Elephas maximus indicus: one gene and its partner. The protein of the gene in region 2 purifies or fractionates together with the protein of the main gene of each other region. This does not show direct contact. Links are inferred from orthologs where the notes say so. Each region holds a gene or a part of one and is shown on either strand. Other genes may lie near its edges.

Evidence for each region.
Region 1: the proteins of ABCC1 (region 2) and VDAC3 fractionate together in Homo sapiens (co-fractionation; 3 studies listed by BioGRID). This does not show direct contact. The link is inferred for Elephas maximus indicus from reciprocal best matches to the Homo sapiens genes ABCC1 and VDAC3.

Annotation. Positions count from the first base shown.
Region 1 is NC_064840.1:57,989,290-58,000,383, forward strand, and holds the start of VDAC3 (voltage-dependent anion-selective channel protein 3), read right to left. Parts: upstream 4,134-11,094; 5' UTR 3,894-4,133; intron 1,615-3,893; 5' UTR 1,613-1,614; coding exon 1,546-1,612; intron 258-1,545; coding exon 208-257; intron 1-207. UniProt on the Homo sapiens protein: Non-selective voltage-gated ion channel that mediates the transport of anions and cations through the mitochondrion outer membrane and plasma membrane.
Region 2 is NC_064830.1:76,492,581-76,503,756, reverse strand, and holds the start of ABCC1 (multidrug resistance-associated protein 1), read right to left. Parts: upstream 5,055-11,176; 5' UTR 5,040-5,054; coding exon 4,518-5,039; intron 1,582-4,517; exon of another isoform or gene 1-1,581.

The DNA of each region.
Region 1 (11,094 bases), on a different chromosome or scaffold from region 2:
CCTAAAATCCCATCAAATTCAACCCGATCATCTATGGGTTTAAATGGCTGAGTAAGGACGCTCGCTGAAACATGAGAGTAGGACAAATCTGCAGGGAACCCAGCCTAGTGCCAAAAGTACACTGTTTCACATAACAAGCGTGATAATGGTTTTTAAATGGGTTTCTTTAATTACATTACATCTATTAAAAGAATAATAGGTACTCACCACTCCACTACAAGACTTGGTTTTTAGGTCGATTTTGACCATGCCAAACCCTAGACACACACACAAAAACACAGTAATGTACAAAATGTGACATCCAGTCCAATTTTGCAACTCAGAAATTAAGAAAACAGACTGCAATATTTTCCATATATAAAATACATAGTATTTTCATTAGCTGAGAATTCTGTAATGAACTGAATTTACAACCAAGCAATTTAAGTATAATTTTTAAGCCCTCCAAAATGAATAAACACATACTTTAAAAATATAAGTTAAAAATGAATGAAAACAATATGCATTATTCCAAGAACCAATATTTCTAGAAGATATTATGCTGATATACACACAAGTTTAAAATATAAATTAACAATACTGGTTAAGAAGAAATCAAATGTGTTCAGCATAAAAATTAAGAGTTTAAATATTAAGTTTTAAAAAACTAAAAATAAATGTGCATTTAGGATCAATGAATATATATTACTCGAAGGAAGTCAAAAGTTGTGTCTTTACTCTCATAAAAACACTGCCATTATTTGGACAGGGAAAAAGCACCCCTGTTTTAATTGTCCACAAGGCTAGCCAGAGGAGATATAGATATTATATATTTATATTATTTTATCTTATCAATAACATTTTATACGCACATACACACACACACACACACACACACATATATATATACACACTTGATTTTAATGGTTCTAAGGGCTCTAAAGGAGCCCTGGTAGCACAACACTCAGCTGCTAACCTTAGAGGCTGGCAGTCTGAACCCACCCAGCAGCTCCATGGGAGAAAGACCTGGTGATCTGCTCCCTTAAAGATTCCAAAACAAAAAACAAAATCCATTGCCATCAAATCGATTCCAACTCATAGCAACCATATATGACATAGGAGAACTGCCCCACAGGATCTACTGCCAATTGCTAGGCTGACCGCTTAACCACTGCACCACCAGGGACCCTCCTTAAAGTTTAAAACAAAAAAACCCCACTGCTGTCTAGTCAATTCCAACTCATACAACCCTACAGGTCAGAGTAGATCTGCCCCACAGGGTTTCCAAGGAGCGGCTGGTGAATTTGAACTGCTGGCCTTTTGGTTAGCAGCCAAGCTCTTTAACCACCAGGGCTCCGCCTTAAAGATTACAGCCTAAAAAACGCTATGGGCAGTGCTACTCTGTCACACAGGGCCGCTATGAGTCAAAATCAATTCAACGGCACCTAACAACAACAATAAAGGACTCTACCTTTAAAAAAATCAAGTCTAATAACCTAATAGTTATCTCCTTAAATCACTAATCCTTACACCCCAAAGATGGAAATTTACAATAGCATTACTTACCATATCCTTTGTTGAAGACATCCTTGGCAGCCTTCCCTAGGTCACAGTAAGTCGGTGTGTTACACATATCTTATAAAGAAAAATGGGACAAAGGAATAAAAATAACCACTGAGTATTTATTCACCCATAGTTTTTCAACATTTCATCCTGGGAGAAGTATACAGTTTTCTCTTCCTTTGCATCATTAATGCTTATACTCTAAGACAACTGAAGTTAAGAGAAGGCATTCTGTCCTTACAAAAGAACTTTCCAGAACACTGGAGAAGAAAAGGTTTTCTCATGAGAGTCACAGAGGTCATCTTTCTGAGTGCATCAGAGAAAAACAAGTTCTCACAGGCTGAAGGAGATGCTTTGTTAAACTGGACTTCTCACTTTTTAAAAAATATGCCAAATTCACTTAGAAAAACCTTTCTCAGGCTGTGATAAAAGCCAAAGAGCAATACAGGGCAACAAGGTAAATATTTTAAGGAACTGTAACAATAGATGCAAAGAAAATCCTTAGGGTTCACATTTTTGCTTCTCTGAAATTCAGTTCTTAAAATAAGAAACCACCATACTAACTGAAATGTATTCACCCAGAATATACCCCCTCTCAAAGCGCTTCTTAAAATGCAGCGCTGCAATCATACCTATTAACCAGAAATAGGATGGATTCTACCTACATAATCTGTTTACCAAAAATTGGTGTAAACTACAAAGCTAAAGCCTTCAAAAATCCAAGGTGCCTTGACTTTTCATCTTGCCTACTTAGTATTCAGCCAGCTTTTCTACCACCGATATGACCCTCCCAACAAATTCTCAGAAGCTATCAACATTTCAGAACATACCACTCCTTTATACTCTTTGTACGCTGGAAATTTTTTTCCTGCAACAGGTTCTGTTGTTGCAAACTCCAAAGCCATATCTAACAAATTACAGAACCACCTCAAGTAGCCACATTACCTCGATGACTATACCATGAAAAAGTTCAGAACACCAGGTAGCCTTTGCAATTCCCATGCCTACACCATCTACACATAGTCAAACCATATTCATTTATATTTAGCCTAGCTCTTAATCTGGCCTTCTGCTAAGCTTCTGCCTATACCATCATACCTGAAGAACATGACATACACTTATATTGCACCTCTCAACTGTGAATTTATTTACACCTTGTCCCATAACCTAAACCAGTGAAATGACAGACATCATGATATAAAGTTATGAGGAAGATTTTACACATATCGTATAAATGTACTGACTCACATGGTCTTAAGACTTTGCTCAGAAGCTACAAGATTTCAGAGTTCACCTCCAGAGTAACTATTTTACAATTCAACCGCTTTTGTACTCAAATGATCAATTTACATTATTTCCAAAGTGACGTTATTACTCTTTATCATCACAATTTGGGAAATATAGAAAAGCAGGCCCTACATATTCAGAAATGTTAAGGCTTTACATTCTGGCTTTTCTTCTAACTGCCAAGAAGGGAAAATGTTCAGAAGCACCCATATATAGAGAAGCTATTTACAACCTTTTAGTATTTTCCTTTATTACTTTTTTCAAAGCCACTGCCAGGTATTCTGCAAAAGCCGCATAGCAGGTTTAGTTCACCTACTGATGTCAATTCTGCCTATTTTTAGGTGACTTTTTCAGTCCCACGATTCTGATGGGAAACGCACTGCTGGTATGATCAAGCAAAAAACCAGAAGGCTTCATGTTACTCGACAGTGCGATCACATATTTCTATCCGCTCCACAAATGCACTTATTTTTTGTAGATAAGCACAATATAGCGGTGTTGCCCTCGATGCAGACCGGGGGAAAGGCGTTAACTGGGTAATACTGCTTTACACAATTCCTAACTTGACAGTCAGCCAAGAGCTCCTTTTGTTCCTCGTTTCTGTTTAAATTGCACGTGCAGCGTCCTCCCTTTGGCCTCAAGGAGCGAAGAGCTCCCGATGTTTGATAACAATTCCAGAAAGGGGGCTGGAAACGGGGGAGCGGGTTTGGGATTCCAGAATCCAACTTCCCCAAACATCAATCCTAGCCTGACGCCTAGAAAGCAAGCCCGGTCCCGACACCGCCGAAGGGAAGGTCGACGCTCCGCGCTCGCAGCAGCTCCTCTCACCGCCAGGCTCCATCACCTGAGGCGACAGGCGGAGCAAGGTCCCCGGCGGAGCGCAGCGCCCCCTCTGCCCCTGCTGCCCGGCCGGCCCGCGCCGCTCCCGCGCCCCGTTAGACTGCTCCGTCCCTCCTGAACCCTCCGTTAGGTCAGTCCCTCGCCGGGTTCCCTGCTCTGTCGCCACCCGCGGCGCCCCGGCCCCTCCGCCAGTCGCGCCGGCCGGCGGCCTCGGCTCCTCTCACCTCCAGCCAGAGGGCCCGTCTCGGCTCGGCCAGGGCAACAGCGCAGAAGGTCTTCTCCCCACCAACGCCGTCCGCGCCTGCGCGACCTCACTCCCCCGCGGCGCCTGCGCGCCCCACCTTCTGCCGCCCCGCGTTTGCGCCGTGGTGGCCGGCGGGGTTCGCTCACCGCCGATCTGGGCGGGGGAGAGGAACAGCTGGGGCGAACAAACGCGGCCAACTGTCCGGCTCCGTGTGAGCGCGTGCGCAGGAGGGCCCAGCGCGCAGGTGGCTGGGGGCGGGGGGCACACGCGGCAGACCGCACTGTGGCCCGGGCAGGGGCTCCTCTCGCGAGAACGCCCGGAGGCTGCCCTCACTGTTACCATGGGAGGGCCGCGGCGGGGGCGGGTGGGAAGACTGATGGATGCTCGGGTCTGATGCGTCAGATCCAGCCCGTTTCATTCCTGGGCGGATGCCGTTGCAGGTCTTCATGGGAATTTCATCTCAGACGGACCAGAATTCAAGAATGTGACCCTTAGGTCATCTCATCTTAAGGATGAGAAAACATAGGTTCCAAGGGCGCAAGTGATTTCTTGAAGATCACACAAATACAGATTCCAATTCAAGGTGGGGTGGGGCGACCCTTCTTTGTCGAAGATACCAAGCCAATGAATGTAGAAGAAATTATAGAAACAAAACCACCGTTTGGAGCCACCATAGTGAGACTGGTTCAGGCGAAAATTATCAATGGATGCTAACTGTTGAGAATATTCGTACTGTTTGTGAGTGTCGCCCCAGAGATTATTTACTAAATTACAGAAAGTAAGGGTTACTTTTAAAAAAAACACCATGGAAATCACCCTTAATCAATGGATCAAACTAAACATCGCCAGCGTAGGACGCCCAGAGGACACAAAGGTAGTATTCTTGCCAAACCAAACCAAAACCGAACCCACTGCTGTTGAGTGGATTCCAACTCATAGCGACCCTACAGGACAGAGTAGAACTGCCCCCAAAGAGTTTTCAAGGGTAAGTGGTGGGTAGGTGGCATATTCATGAGGAAACAATCGGACAAATCAAATTCAGGAACATTCTGCAAAACAACTGCCCCGTCTCTTAAAAAATGGAGATTTCATGAAATTGTAAGAAAAAGGATAGTGGATTGTTCTAGATTAAAAGAAACAAAAGACATGACACTAAAGGCAATGTGTGATCCTAAATTGGACTCTAGATAAAAACAATTAAAAAAAAAAAACAGCAGTAAGGGGCATTATTGGGACAATTGGGGAGCTTTGAATATAGACTGTGTATTAGTATTGTAACAATGCAAGATTTTCTGAGGATAATTGTGTTGTGGTAATGTGGAAATACTCTTGTTTTTAGGAGATACACCCTGAAGCCTTTAGGAGTAAAATAGCATGGGTCTGCAACTAACTTAAATGGTTCAAAAGAAGAGAGTGACAGCGAGCAAATGTGACAAAATGTTAACAACTGGGGAATCTAGGTGAGAGATATATACAGGTGTTTGTTGCACTATTCTTGAAACTTTTCAGTGAGTTTTAATTTTCAAAATAAAAAGTTGAGGAGAAAAACACCTACAAAGTCTGTGAGGCTCAGTCCCCAACACCAGGTTGCTGCTTTAGTCAATAGGCAGATATGATTAGTCTTTAAAGTTAATCACAGATAAAAAAGATAAACGCTCCCAAAGGACTCATTATCTAAGACTTGGACAAATAACTGCTGAATGAGGCAGAATATGATAAATGCCGTAAGCAAAGCAGTATAACCTAATAAGCTGAACAAAATGAGTACTGGAGTCAAAAGAGGCTGGGCTTGTGCCTCAACTGTGCCAAATCTGTGCTTTTGGGCAAGCAACTTAAATCTCTCTATGCTTCAGTTTCCTCATAAGAGAAACAGAACTAAGTAATATATACCTCAGAGGATTGTAATGGGTATTAAATGAAATAATGAACCTGTAGCATGTAATCTACCTGGCATATGGAAAATATTCATTAGTTAATAAAACTGTTGAAAATTAATATGCTATGAGAATTTAAAAGCTATAGAGGCAAAACCCATATTTATGCATACACAGGAGACCTGTTCACTGGAGCCACAATTCCAGCCTATGCTTTGGCTCAGCGCTAGCCTTTGTTGGATACAGCTGGCCATTAAAGGCTATAAACAGCACTTTGAGCAGGAATTTGGCAACATTCCTTTCTTCATCTTCTGTTACCCAAAAGTCTTTCTTCTGAAAAGACCTGACAACCGTCATCTCGCATCATCCAGAGAGACTTGCTCTCTTTCGCAACGCCTGAAACAGGAAGGTGGTGAAAGAAACCAGCGCTGCTGCAGGAGAGCATCCTTCCTTTGTTTCCCGTCCTTCTGGCCCTGTCGGTTTAGTGGGTTGCAGATTAAACGCTCAATGTCCATATCAAGACTTTGGCCTTAGTCACCTCAAAAACTGCACCAGAAATGGTACAGCACTGTGGAAAACATTTTGGCAGTTCCTACGAGCCAGTAATTCCACTTCGAGGTATAGTTTTTACCCAAAAGAATTGCAAACAAAAACCAAACAGATACAGTTACCCCAGTGTTCATTGCAGCACTATTTGCAATAGCAAAAAGATGGAAACCACCTACATGCCCATTAACAGATGAATGGATAAACAAAATGTGTTACATACATACACTGGGATAGTACTCAGCCATGAAGATAAATGAAGTTCTAATATGTGCTACAACATGAATGAACCTTGAAAACATCATACTGAGTGAAACATGTCAGTCACAAAAGGACAAATATTGCATGATTCTACTTACATGAAATATCCAGAATAGGTGTGTATACAGACCTAAGTTTATGAGTGGTTACCAGAGGTGGGTAGGAGGGAAAAGAGGACTCATTGCTTAGAGGACACTGAGCTTCTGTTAAGGGTGATGGAAAAATTAGGAAACAGATGATGATGCTCGCACAACTGATGATGAATAGAATGTCACTGAATTGTACATGTGAAGAATGGTGAAATGGCAAATGTTTTGTTACATGTATATTTACCACACAGAAGAAACAGGAGTAGATATACATAAAATTATAACAAGGAAAACAAATCTAAATCAGAGAACTAAAGCCAGTTCTCATTTCCCCCACCTCCACTGGATGTAAACTCTTCAGAAGTGTAGATAGGACTCTCAGTCCAAATCACAATAACATGGTATTCTTCTCCTATAAAATCTATAGAATTACAGCATTATAGAGCAGAGAAAGGACTTTAAATTTTTTCATTTGAGAGACATTTGCTAAGTGCTTGCTATGTATGCTCCAAGGTGAGGTATGAGGAAACACCTCACGACATCACTGCTGTGCGGGTCCAGAGGCCCATGGCGAACCTCATGAGCAGGTTCCCCATTCAGGTTACCCTCCTGAGTCAAGATAGCCTGCTGAACAACTGGACTAAACCAAAAGCAAAGAAGTTTCCTGAATACAACCGAATGCTTCAAAGGCCAGAGTAGCAGGGATGGGGGTTTAGGGACCATGGTTTCAGGGGACATCTAGGTCAGTTGGCATAAAGAAATGTATTAAGAAAACATTCTGCATCCCACTCTGGTGAGTCATGTCTGGGGCCTTAAACACTAGTAAGCAGCCATCTAAGATGCATCAATTGGTCTCAACCCACCTAGACAAAAGAGAATGAAGAACACCAAAGACATAAGGTAAAGATGAGCCCCAGAGACAGAAAGGGCCACATAAACCAGAGACTATATCAGCCTGAGACCAGAAGAACTAGATGGTGCCCGACTACAACGGAGGACTGCCCTGACAGGGAACACAACAGAGAATCCCAGATGGAGCAGAAAAACAATGGGATGCAGATCTCAAATTCTCATAAAAAGACCAGACTTAATGGTCTGACTGAGACTAGAGAGACCCCTGAGGTCATGGTCCCCAGACCCTTTGTTAGCTCAAGACTGGAACCATTCCCAAAGCCAACACTTCAGACAGGGATTGAACTGGACTATAAGACAGAAAGTAATACTGGTGAGGGTGAGCTTCTTGGCTCAAGTAGACCCATGAGGCTATGTGGGCAGCTCCTGTCTGCAAGCGAGATGAGAAGGCGGGGGAGGCGAGACAGGAGATGGTTGAATGGACATGGGGAATACAGGGTGGAGAGGAGAGGGGAAGAGAAGCTAGGAGTACATAGCAAGCTGTGTATGAGTTTTTTAATGAGAGGCTGACTTGTAAACTTTCACATAAAGCACAATAAAAAAAGATAGCCTGCTGATCTATGTACATTAGTTTTTTGAGAGAAAATAACAGAAAGTTAGTATAGTTTTACCCAGAAATGGTAGTGGTGGGGGGACTGAGAACAGGGACCCTTCTGTGAAGATTTGATAGTTCGACTACCGTAAGTGTAGAGATATTATAAGACTTTGAAAACAAAAGTGTTATTTAATTCTCTGTTTCGTTAAAGAAAAGGGTACTACTTGCTTGTTTTCAAGGCCAAGGACCCCAAAAACTCTGATGAGGAGTGCATCTTTGAAGAGAAGGTGGCAGCAAGCCAAGCCCCTGGGCCTTTACAAGGAGGCAGCAGAGCACAGAGACTCTGGGGGAAAGCACATTACCTAAGCCTGGGGAGGCAACTGAAGGCTTTTTAGAGGAAGTGACAGCTTGCAGTGGTTCAGGTGGGCACAAGAGAATGGCTTCCAGAGCAGAGGGACAGAATGATCAAAGACATCATACTTTTAATCCTGGAATTCCATATCTAGGAACTCACCTCAAGGAAAAAACCATAGATTTGTGCAAAGACATCTTGAACAGCTGGAATGGTTTATCCAAAAAAAAAAAAAAACCCCTTTGCCGTCGAGTCAATTCCGACTCATAGTGACTCTATAGGTCAGAGTAGAACTGGCTCTATAGGGTTTCCAAGGAGCAGCTTGTGGATTCGAACTGCTGACGTTTTAGTTAGCACCCGAGCTCTTAACCACTATCCCACCAGAGCTCCTGAATGGTTTATAGTAGCAAAAAAAAGAAAAGTTCTTTTCTTTTTTTGAAAAATAAAAAAGCAACCTAAATGGCCAATACAGAGGGTTCATTAAATAAACAGTAAAAACCAAAAACTAAACCCGTTGCCATCGAGTCAATTCCAACTCATAGCAACCCTGTAGAACTGCCCCATAGAGTTCCAAGAAGCAACTGGTGAATTTGAACTACTCACCTTTTGGTCAGTAGCCATAGCTCGTAACCACTGCACCACCAGGGCCCCAAATAACTTAAAATCCACCCATATTCTAGATTTCAGTACAGCCAGTAAAATGTGTTCTAATAATTTTTGATGTTCTGGGGATAGAGCTCTTAATGTTCTATTCTGGGAAAGAGAGAGAAAGGAAACAAAAGTATACATACAGTGTAATCCCAGTTGTGTGTGGGTGTATGTGCGTGTGTGCGTTGTAATTTCACTTCAGGAAAAAGCAAGGGAATAATAAGCATAGCATCACTGTTTACCTCTGCGGGAGCTGGACTTTTACTAAAATTTAGCAGTGACTAAAAAAAAAAAAAAATTTTTTTTTTTTTTTTTTACCACAGCTGGGTCAGAATATATGTGACTTTTCCTTCCTTCTTCAGGCTTCTCTGTATTTTCCAGAATTTCTAAAATGAAAGTGGGTTTCCTTTATAACTGAGAAGTTAAGCTCACTTTAATAGGTGGGGAAGTACCTAGATTTATAAGATGGGAAGGGCTGTTCTCTGGGGAATTTCCACCAGAAGGGAGATGCTTCCGGAATGGTGAACATAGAATTCACCTTGGACCTTCTGAGTGCTCACTCCACACTGAACCACAAGGGGGAGCAAGGAAACAAGGTAAAAGAAAAACTGTATCTGTTGGGCCACACGGGGCTTCAGAGACACAAGGACCCTATTCCTTCAAGCCCTTACTCCCCAGGAGCCTCATCCAGGTTCTTCATAAGGTTGTGAGCATGGTTATGAATTACAGTTAACTGTGTGCCTAGGGCCTCCCTACTAAGGTCAGATTCTAAGTTTAATGTCAATAATATTTGCAAGGCGTCTTCACAGGGAAACCAATTTTGTCAAAGTGATATGTGTAGTCTGACTGATCCAACCTGCAAATTATTTCATCTTAACCACTTCCTTGTGAATCACTATAATTCCATTTACATAAAGGATAATTTAGGGAAAAAAGAAAGTAACATGCTTCTACAGTGATATGCCATGGAAAAAATAGCAAGAAAATGAAAAGTAGTTCCCTTCTATTTTTTTTTTTTCCTAAGTATATAGCTGTGATAAGCAGGCTGGATATGTTCGGGAATGGACTTCAGTTAGCGAGCTGTATCATGTGGTATAAAGGAAAGTGTAAACCTTAGAGCCAGATAAATTATGTTAAAGTCCTAGGTCTGCAACTCACTAACCATGTGACCCTAGGTGAATTATTTGACCTCTTTGAGCCTCAGTTTCTTCATTTTTAAAATGGAGATTCCTCAGAAGTAGATTCCTCTTCCAATGCGGCTCTCCAGAGGAAGCCTTCATACGCAGATAGCTTTCTTTGGCCAAGGTCCTGAGGAGGCTCGGCCTGCACCCGGAGTAGGAGCCTGGTGACAGAGAAGCCAAGTCATACCCAGTGAGTCAGCTACATCACAACATCCAAAAAATGGAGCAACTAGAGGAAGACTTGCTCTGCAGGAGAAGTATAGGGACTGTGGTAACTCTAACGGGGAAGATATTTCTGGGGTTCTTTCATAGGGGACACTAAAGAAAGTAGGCCGGAACCTTCAAGGTGCCTCTCCACCCTGGCCAGGATTGTTGGTGTTAGCTGACATGAAGTCGGCCCTTGACTCATGGTGATTCCAAACCCAGCTGAACGAAATGCTTCCAGGTCCTGCACCATCCCCCGTGGTTGGTTGCAAATAGGACCACTGTGATCCATAGGGTTTTCACTGGCTGATTTTCTGGAAGTAGATTCCCAGGCTTTTCTTCCTATTGCAGCTTAATCTGGAAGTTTCATAGCAACAAGCAAACCTCCACTAATAGAAGGTGGTGCCTGCATGTTACATTCATTGGCTGGGAATCGAACCTGGGTTTCCTGCATGGAAGGCAAGAATACTACCGTGGAACCACCAATATCCCTGGAGGAAAAACCAAAAAAACCAAACCCAGTGCTGTGGAGTCAATTCCGACTATAGTGACCCTATAGGACAGAGTAGAACTGCCCCA
Region 2 (11,176 bases):
ATGCTTCTCCATTACCAACTGCAGGGCCCTCTTGGCAGCCGACTGGAATATTCAGGGTTTACTGGCTATGCTGGAGAATGCTAGAGGGCATCTCTGAGGTGAATATCAGTGCCAGGGCCAACTCACTCCAGGGGCTGAGACTCACGTCCGCTGCTTCTGTTCAACCCCAGCAGCAACAGGTGTGGCAGCAAAAACGAACTCAGGAATTCCAGCTGGTGAGGCCCACTTACGTTTATTAAGCGCTAAGACATCCCTGGAGCCCTGGTAGCACAGTGGTTAAGAGCACGTCTGCTAACCAAAAGGTCAGTGGTTGGAATCAATCCAACAAGCTGCTCCCTGGAAACTCTAGGGGGCAGTTCTACCCTGCCCTATAGGGTCACAATGGGTCTGAATTGACTCAACAGCAACAGGTTTGGCTTTTGGTTTTAAGGCATCCCTGGGGGCGCAGCGGTTAAGTGCTTGGTTGCTAACCAAAGGGTCGGCAGTTCGAACCCACCAGCTACTCCACAGGAGACAGATGTGGCAATCAACTCTTGTAAAGATTTACAGCCTAGGAAACCCTATGGGGCAGTTCTATTCTGCCATACAGGGTGGAGTCAACTCAACAGCACACAAAAACAACAAAGCATCCCTGGGTGGTGCACATAGTTAATGTACTTGGTTGCTAACCAAAAGATTGGAGGTTCGAGTCCACCCAGAGGCACCTCAGAAGAAAGGCCTGGCAGTCTACTTCTGAAAAATCAGGCACTGAAAACCCCACAGAGCATATTTCTACTCTGACACACACACGGGTTGCAATGAATTGGAATCGACTCGACAGCAACTGAATTTTACTTTGTTTTTAGGCCATACCGAGAAGCAATGTTCTAAGCACCTGCCAAGAGTTCACTTGCTTATTCTTCCTACTACCACTTTTTGCCAGAGACTATTATCATCATCCCGATTGTCCACATGGGGAAACAGAGGCACAAAGAAAAGTAACTTACCTAAGCTATCCAGCTGGTAAGCCACAGAGCCAGGATTTGTAAACCCACACTACACTGCTTATTTGTTTTCTCTACTTTTTCACATTTTCTGATTTTTCACTCTGGGCACGCATCGCATTAGTAAACAAATGTTTTTTTTTAAAAAACTAACTTGTATGGAGAAACCCAGACTCAACTTTCCCAACCTTCATTCAAATATCAACCACAAAACAGCCCCTTCTGCCAGCCTACAGTCCCCAAACAAAGCCAAGCACCTGTGAACTCAGCCTCTATTTTCCATGTAGATAACAGACTTTCCCTTTTCTCATTCCAGAGCATTTGCCTGAGTGGACTTGATAAGTCCACAGACCTCTCACCATTGGCCATGTCCCCCGCTCAAGTTTTTCTGGGCCCGGAAGCAGACACTCCCAGGAACAAAGCTTCTGATAGAGTCACAGGTGGGCCAGTCACCTTGATTTTTTTTTCTTACTGATAAGTATGTAGGTAACAGAGAACATCTGCCATTTCTACAACCTTCACGGGTACAGTTCAGTGGCATTAATTGCGTTTAGTCATCGCCATCAACAGTCCTCGAATTTTTCTAACATCCTTAACAGAAGCTCAGTGCTAAGCATTGTGTCTTCCTTTCTCCCTCTATCCCTCCCACCCCTAGTAAAACTTTTGTCTCTACATACTTGCTGATTCTAGATATTGCATACAATTTCATACAATATTTGCCCTTTCGCGGCTGACTTATTTCACTCAGCGTTAACGTTTTCAAGGTCACCTTGATTTTTAAACACATGACTTTGGTCATAAGAGAAGCCAGGCATGAGTTGGCAGGCAGATCCCACAGCCCAATCCCATCCCCAAACATCAAATGAAAAGTGGGCTCAAACACATGCAACTCGAAACACACGAACTTCATCTTTAGAAAGAATAATAATCATTGTTTAACTCTGTTTAACATTGTTTTACTCTTCACAACAACCCTAGGAGGTTGTGACATTTATTACCTGCCCCCATTTTACAGATGAGGAAAACTGAGGCACAAAGAGGTGAAGTGCCTTGCCCAACGTCACGCGCTTATCTAACTGGCTGGGAAGCCAGTCTTTCCCAGCCTTAAGCCTTAATTACAACTGGGATGGAGAGCAGGAGGGTCGATCTACAGGTTTGTCCTCACTGCCAATTAGAGTCCAACTCTGCAAAAGGTCTGCTCTCCAATCACTCCTAGACCCTGAATGCAAAGCACATGTACTATTCGCAGCCCTGGAGCAAATCTCCAACTGCACTGGCCAGAAAATGCGAAACAAAAAGGCAGGGCTGCTGGTTGTTCTACCAAAAGGATACCCTGCTCAAAACTAAATCCTTCCAGTAAAAATACAGCCTTCAAGGAAAAGACTACGAAACAGGACAAGAAGGTATTTTCAGATGCTAAACACCAGTTCCCAGGAGACAAAGGTGATTCTTTCTCCTAATTCCTTAACTAAAGATGAAAAACTATTGTGATGGTTAAAGTTGTATATCATCTTGGGCTGGGCCGTGATTCTCAGTGGTTTGGCAATTGTGCGATGATCTAGTTACCCTCCATTTTGTGATATAATGTAATCCCCTCCATGATGTGATCTGATGTGATCAGCCAATAAGCTGTAAGCAGAATTTCTTTGGGGGAGGGGCCTGCATCCAATATATCAAGATGCTCTGGCAAAGCTCACTGGCTTTTGCTCCCTCTGGATCCTGCATCCAGCTCATCGTTATTTGACTTCTGGTTCCTGGGACTTGAGCCAGTGGCCCGCTGTATTGCCTGCCAATCTTAGGATTCCATGGTCTCTGCAGCCTGTGAGACAGCAGCCTGCTGTCTGACCTTCCAATCTTGGGTTCATCAGCCCCTACAGCTACGTGAGTCAGGAGAAGCCTCCAGTCTGATTCGGGACTTGCCAGCCTCTACTACCATGTGAGCCATTTCCTTGAGATAAATATACACATATATACATATATTCATACACATATATATACACACATATACACATGGCAACTCTGGTGGCATAGTGGTTAAGAGCTATGGCTGCTAACCAAAAGGTCAACAGTTCGAATCCACCAGGTGCTCCTTGGAAACCACATGGGGCAGGTCTACTCTGTCCTACAGGGTTGCTATAAGTCTGAATCAACTTGATGGCAATGGATTCTTTTGGTTTTTATACATACATATATATGTATATATACACACACACATATATATACACACAGAGATAGAGCACTTTGGTGGTGCAGTAGTTAAAAGCTCAGCTGTTTACCAAAAGGTCAGCAGTTCAAATCTACCAGGTGCTCCTTGGAAATCCTACATGGCAGTTATACTCTGTCCTATAGGGCTTATAGGGCTACTATGAGTTGAAAACTACTCAATAGCAACAGGTTCATATACATACATGTATATATATGTATAGATATATAAGCTTCACTGGTTTTGCTTCTATAGAGAACCCAGCCTAAGACAACTTCACGTCCAGATTGGCTTACTGCATCTACCAGTAGTCAAGACAGCATGACACAGAAGTGCCCTACCCTGAACAAAGGGGCAAATCGTATTACACCGTTGCTAAAGCCCAAGGCACTGGGGATTAAACCACACGGGAAGTGAACTCTTGAGACCCAAGCAAGCACGACATCACCCATGCTGAAGAAAACTTGGTGGGGTAAAAACCAGTGAGGAGGCCCACATTACAGGGGTGGGGTAGACATACCCCACAGGTACTAGAGCCCTAGGAATCCTCAGTTGCACCCCAAGCCTGACCCTGGGGGTGGGGGGACACAGAGCAGGGGTGAGCAGCCATCTTCTCCCCTTGATCTTCCCCTGTTCCCCCAAATTGCCCCTGGAGCATTTAGGCAGAAAAAAAGGAAAAGATGACAAAAATATGTAACCACAGCACAGTAATGCGGATGAAAACACCTGAGGAGGGGGCAAACGCCAACCCAATCAGTGGGAACCCCCCTTCTACAGCCCAAGCCTCTCCCCAGCTCAGCTCTTTGGTAATGGGATGCTCTTTGTGGAAGGGGGACCCCGATCCAGAGAGATGGGAGAACACAGGCAGAGACACCTCTCTTTACTGTCCCCCAGCTCTGGCGTCTGCTTCCCTGAGAAGTTATTTTTAATTGAGGGAGGGAATCCCAAAGCATGAAGGGCCCCTCTTTCCGGCCCCTCGCCGAGGGTCTGGGCCCTTCCCCACCTCCAAAGCCCTAGGGCTGGGCTCTTGCCTTCCCCCATCCCACACTCGACTTCCCTGAAACCGAGTCACACAAGCTTCCCCATCAGTTCCACAAACGAAGGGGCCCGGGCGGCGGCGGCTGGGGAGCGGAACCCCCAGGCCGGCGGCGGAGCCGGGAGGCGGGCTCCGGGTCCTCAGCGGGCGCCCCGGAGCTGCGGGCCCGGCCCGCCCTGCCCAGCGCTTCCCCTGCTGCGCCAGCCTGCCAGCCCGCCGGCCTCCTTCCCTCCCTCTCTCCTTCCCTCCCTCCCTCCGGCGGCCCCACGCGGCCCCGGCGGCCGCGAGCACGTACCCACAAGGGGTCGGAGCCATCGGCGCTGCAGAAGCCCCGGAGCGCCATGCGGCCGGCGCGGGCGGCGGGCACGGGCGGCGGGCAGCAGGCGGCGGATGGCCCGGCTGTAGCTGTAGCTGTAGCAGCGGCGGCGGCGGCGGGAGGGCCCGAGGCGGCGGCGGAGGAGCTGGAGCCGCAACGCCGCCTGGTTGGCCCGCGCGTCACGGGGATGCGGCGGCCCCGCCCCGGCCGGCTCACCTCGGCGCGGCACAGCGGACCGCCCACGCGGGCTCGACCCCCGCCACCTCCGCGCCCCCGGCGCCCAGGGCTTCCGGGCCCCCAGGCCACCGCCCTTGCGCCTGTCCCCACATCCTCAGGGGTCGCCGGATCCCACCCCCTACGGAGGCCTGGCGAGGGTTTGCTAACCCTCCGAAAGCGGCCTGGGTTTTTGTGCCCAGACCCTGCGTCCAGTTTTCGAATCCTGTTAAAACAACAGCCACGACAACAGTAATGATAACAAGGAGAAAACAGTGTGCCAAACATCTTAGCTGCGTTCTCACGACAGCCTCGCTAATATTACTTCCTTTTTTTTTTTTTGTGACGCTGCTCTTTTTTTTTTTTTTTAAATAAGGACGTTGAGAGATTAACAGGCAGCATCTGTCTTGGTTAACCGTGCCTGAGACCTTTCAGCCACGGTAAGTGGTCCGCTGAGATCCGCTGCACCGCTGTGTGACTGAGGAGGGACAGTGGCACAGCTGAACTGTGTCTCTCTGGATATCGTCATCGTCAACGAGATCTTCAAAATCATTTAAAAAGTCGGCGTGCATTCCTACTCCTTGGCTGCCGAGTCCATCAACAGCCCTATTCTGCCTCGGGCCTCCTTCAGGTCCACTTAAGGCCGGCGCCCTCAGGGAACACCTTGCTCTCAGCCGGCTTCAGTAGGTCCACAGTTTCAGGTGCCCGCTACTTCCGCCCCTTTCATGGAAGAGAGGGAAAAAGGCCCAGAGAAGTGAAGTGGCTTTCCCAGGGTCACCTGATCAACTGGCAGAGCTGGGATTTGAACCCAGCCAGCTGACTCAGAGTAGGAAGTGGATACCCTTATTAATCTAACCGTTACAAATAGAGAGACTGAGGCTCAGAGAGATGAAATGACGTGCCCAAGAAGTGGAAGTGGGATTTGAACCCACAACCGGTCTGAGCACTCTTGGCCCAGGGGCTCTAGTCTTCATCCCAAAGAGCTCACCTTAGAGTTAAACTAAGACTGGAGATGACAATAATTAACAGGCATTCGTAGTCATGGGTTTGTATGTGTGTTAGTATGTGTTGTTAGCAGTGAACATGAATTAACTGGATGGCTAAAGTGGTTTGCAGTTGGCTGCTAATGGAAATGTTGGTGGTTCCGAACCCACCCAGCATGTCTGCAGGTTCCAAGGGAGAAAGATCTAGCTATCTCCTTGAAAAAATTTCAGCCAAGAAAACTCTGTGGAGCAGCTCCACTCTGTAACACATGGGTTCGCAGTGACTCAGGGGTCAGGCGCCACGCGAGAGCAGCTAGCAACAACAATCCTCACATTAACCCCATGAGGTAGATACTATTATTATCTCCACTTTGCAAGTGAGGAAACGGAAGCCCAGAGAGCCAGAGTAATTTGTCAAGGATTATATAGATGGTAAGTAACTGAGACAACTTTTCAACTCAGGCATTCTGGTGGGGGCAGGGGGCTATGATGCTAACCACCATACCATATTGCCTTAAAAAAAAACCAAACCCAATGCTGTTGAGTCGATTCCGACAGGGTAGAACTGCCCCATAGAGTTTCGAAGAAGCACCTGGCGGATTCAACCTGCCGACCTTTTGGTTATCAGCCCTAGCACCTAACCACTATACCACCAGAGTTTCCCCTTATTGCCTTAAAAAAAGAACGGTTTAACTCATAGATACACAGGCAGCAAGTGATAGGAGTTGGGGCTAAGGCCTGGAAGTCCACACTTTCCCTGTGACACTAGCAAGGCCTTTCCTCCCTTTTCTTAATCCCCTACCTAATGTGTGGTTTCGTTAAACACACACACAGAAAAAACAGCTGCACCAAAGAAAACAAGAACACTGTTTGAATTTGAGCCCTTAAAGTACCTAGTGAGGGCGGAGGATAGAATCATTTCCTGTGATTTTTTTTTTTTTTTTTGGCTCAGGTACCCCTCAAAGTGTGAGTTTTTAAGGGATAATTGCTTTCAGATGACAATGCTCATTGTCCTGTTGCTTTGCTATTTATATATTCAACAAATATTTAGGAACAAGGCAAAACTTATTCAGCGTAAAGTGTTGAGTTCTTTGTCTTCTGTTTCTTTGCTTTTATTTTGTTGTTTGTAAGGGGGAACAGATATTAATTAAATAATCACACAGAGAGGTAGGTATTTACAGCAGCAAAAAAAAAAAATTTTTTTAATTTTTTTTTTTAAGAGCTAGGAAGAAAAGTGGACATAAGAGAGCCAAAAGAGGCCCTGGCTGCTATAGGGTGGGGGCCAGGGAAGGCTTCACAGAGGAAAGGGTTTCTGAGCCTAGATACAAGCAACCAATCTGGATTTATGACACCTGGCTTGTGTTCGAGGCTGAAGAAAACAATTTAGATAAAAGCCAGGAAGCAGGACAGAGCAGGGCCATGAAGGAACCTGAAGATGCCCTGAGTGTCAGGAATCCAGAGAGAAGCACAGAAGGGACCCATCTGGAGCAGGAGGGGTGGCAGGAATCAGAGCACAAAGGCTCTTGTCAGCCAGGGGAGGGATTTCGGCTTGGCCCTAAGAGCAATGGGGAGCCACTGAAGAGTTTTAAGCAGAGGGAGAGACATGGTCAGATTATTTCCCATTTTTATCCAAATTCTTCATTCATTCATTTATTCTTTCAACAAATATTTATGGAGCAAACATATGAAAAGGTGCCAGACACGTTAGTCATCATGGAGATGCAAATAAAACCCTATTGAAATACCATTTCATGCCTACCAAAATGGCTAAAATGAAAGACTGAAACTACCAAGTGTTGGCAAAGACGGGGAGCAGGCAGAACTCTCACACTGTGCTATTAGGAAAGTAAATTGGTTCAACCGCTTTGGAAAACTGGCAATTTCTAAAAAAAAAAAAAAATTTCTGTCAAGTTAATTCCAACTCATAGTGACCCTATAGGATAGAGTAGAACTGCGCCCATAAGGTTTCCAAGGCTGCCTGTGATATTTACAGGAGCAGACTGCCACATCTTTCTCCCACTGAGTGGCTGGTGGGTTCCAACTGCTGACCTTTCAGTTAGCAGCTGAGTACTTAACCATTGTACCATCAGGGCTCCTTGATATGTTATAAGAATGGAAGTTCACAAAGGGGAAGGAGAATCAAGATCAACAGCCCAAGGCTGATTCCTATGAGGGGGAGGTCAAACATACCTCCACTCTCCAGCCTCTTTACCAATTCTGACACCAAGCGTCCCTCCTGTAGCACGCTCTACTTCTCTGCTGGGTTTGATAATCCATTGCAGTGGCCACACAGACCATATTCACAAGTTATGGGATTTATTAGGGAAGTAACGGGTTACAAATTCAGGAGCAGAGATGACTCAGGATACAGTTCTTCTATCAGGACAGCCTCTTCTCAGCCGTTCTTGCAGGTAAGCCTCTCTCTGGCTGTTGGCCGCTGGGCCTCTCAATCCCTTGGCCCAGCTTCTGCCCTGCTTGGGCAGGTGTTACAAAGAAAGCTCTTTTGCTCTGCCAATAACCGCCCAAGGGCAACCCACTCTGCTGGGAAGCCTCCTGCCCAAAGTCACTCAGCTGTCTTACTCCATGGGTCAGTATATCCACTGTAACCACCTTGTTCTGTGGGCCAGGAAGCCCAATAAGTTGTCTAGCGCCGGTCTCCTAGTTCTGCTGCCACAGCTTCTCTACGATTACTTCTTGCCGTCTTGCACCATCTCTGGTGTTAGACCTCTCTCTCTGGCTCCTGGGTCTAGAAGATTCTCAGCGCAGGGACCCCAGGTCCAAAGTACACACTCCGTTCCCATCTTTCTTTGTGATAGTGAGGTCCCCCTTTCCTGCCTCTGGGATGACTCATTTTAAGCTTAGCAGGGTGACAAAACTGCCCAGTCCCCCGGTTAAGATTCCATACACCTATTTGCATGGTCCCACCCAGGAAAACCTGGCAGCGTAGAGGTTAAGAGGTATGGCTGCTAACTAAAAAGTCAGCAGTTGGAATCCACCAGGCACTCCTTGGAAACCACATGGGGCAGTTCTGTTCTGTCCCATAGGGTTGCTATGAGTCAGAATCAACTCGAAGGCAGTGGGTTTGGTTTTTTTGGTTTACCTAGTCATTTGGCGGGAGTTAGAAGACCATGGTAAGAAAGGCCATATAAAAGTAATCCATAGCACTGCATATGTACGTAAATATACATACATACATATACATGTTGTTAGGTGCTGTTGAGCTGATTTCCACTCATAGCAACCCAATAGGACAGAGTAGAACTGCCACATAGGGTTTCCTAGGCTGATATCTTTACAGGAACAGATTGCCAGGATTTTTCTCCCACAGAGCGGCTGGTGGGTTCAAACGGTTGACTTTTTCAGTTAGCAGCCGAGTGTTTAACCACTGTGCCACCAGGGCTCCTTGGCCAAATAAATAAGTGCACCATTTTCACAGGCTGAAAGTTCGAGTTAGAGGAATGCAGTGGCTGGTCCACCATCACACAGCTAGGGTGTGGCAGAGACAGGCTCAGCCTTGCTTCTGACCAGGAAGCTCTCTGTCCACCTTTGCTGCTACCCTTTTGGCCACAGACTCAAAACCACTCTCTTCACCTTCTCTCCAAGTGCGTTCCTCCCCGTCTGGAGTGCTTGTTCAGTAAAAAAACACCCTTAGACCAAGAGGCTCTGGGCCCTGCACCAAACCCACTCAACTAACAGCAGAGATGGTTTGTGATTTAAGTACAGCATTTGAATTCCAAGTGTCAGCAGCCTTGGTAAACTTTGAGTTGGGTGAATAGTATAGCCGAGAATACCAAAAAGATTTTTTCTTTTTTTCCTATATTCCTAGTTCCCTGTTCCTGGTCACTTATTCCCCAGTACTTATCACTGCTTATAATCATCCATTCATTTATTTGCTCCTTGTTCGCCCTGGTGGGAGTCCCTGAGTAGTGCAAATGGCACCGGACTACTAGGTTGGAGGTTTGAAGCTGAAGTTCTTGCTGGGGCCTGTTGTTAGTTGCCAAGGAATCGATACTGACGATCGTCCAGTTGATACAGCCTCATGGCCACCCCATTTGTTCCAAAGCCTTTTCAAAGCTGTGACCTTTCAGCAGCAAATGGAAGGCCTTCTTCCAAGGCACCCCTGGGTGGGTTTGAACTACCAACCTTTTGGGTAGTAGCCACATGCTTAACTCTTTGCACCAGCCAGGGACTCCTTCTACAGTAGGAAGGGGGTGCAGAAATAGGCGCCCACAAACCTGAATGGGGCCGTATTGGGGAGCCAAGCTCCAGCACATTGTTACCAGAATAGGGTCCGTACCGTGGAGCAGTCGAACCAATGAAACACACTCTAATCAGAAAGAGTGAGAAAGTTTGTTAAGGAGATGTAAACGTCACGGGGGGTAGGGGGAGGGCAGCAGCAACACAGGCAGACGTCTCTATAGAGTCCCCAAGAACAATTTTACATCACAGTTTATATAGAATCATACAAGGATTACAAGTGTCTTTGTAGTCCCCAGATGGCCAGGCCTGAGGAGTTATTCATTACAAGACAGTGACAAAAGACTCTATCAGACTAAAGAAATACGTATCAGACACTTGGGCTCTGATTTTCCGGTGGGGGTTGTAAGTCACAGGTGGTGGGACTGAACAAAAGTTTATTTGCATCTGTTTAAAACAAAGAACAAAGTCATTGACAGAGGTATGCGAAGGAGGAGTCAGGCAGAGGAAGGAGAAAAACTTATAAATTCAACATAGTTGTGTCAAGCCCTCAGTTGCCTATTTTGAAAAAGAAGAAAACATGCTGAGGAGTATTGGTGTCACAACATGCCCCTGAAAATCACCCTCTGGCTTGCTCTTGGCATTTTTGACCCTCAAATCACAAAGCCTGCCGAACACCTTGGCACAGAAAACCTCCATTTCTAGACCTCAGCCCTGAGAATTTGAAGGGAAGCTCTGTCATGCAACGCCCTGTACCTGAGTTGGAAGTTGAGGCGGCTTCTCTGTGTCACAGTGACTTACAGTCTTCAAGCAAGAGTAAGATATTTGATTTGTACTGATATATTTCAAACTAGAAATTCCCTAACAGCCTATAATTTTAGAGAACATAGTTTTCTCATTAAGAAAGCAGTAGTCACTCAAAGAAGAGGGTCACTATGACCCTTTTTTTTTTAACCCAAAAACCAAACCCATTGCCGTCAAGCCAATTCTGACTCATAAAAATAGTAAACCCCAAAGCCAAACCCGTTGCCATCGAGTTGATCCTGACTCATAGTAACCCTATAGGACAGGGTGGAACTACCCCATCAAGTTTCCAAGAAGTGCCTGGTGGATTTGAACTGCCGACCTTTTGGTTAGCAGCCATAGCATTTAACCACTACATGACCAGCATTTCCCACCCTACAGCACTGCTGTTGTAATACAAATACCACAGATTGATGGCTTTCGAGAACAGAAATTTATTAT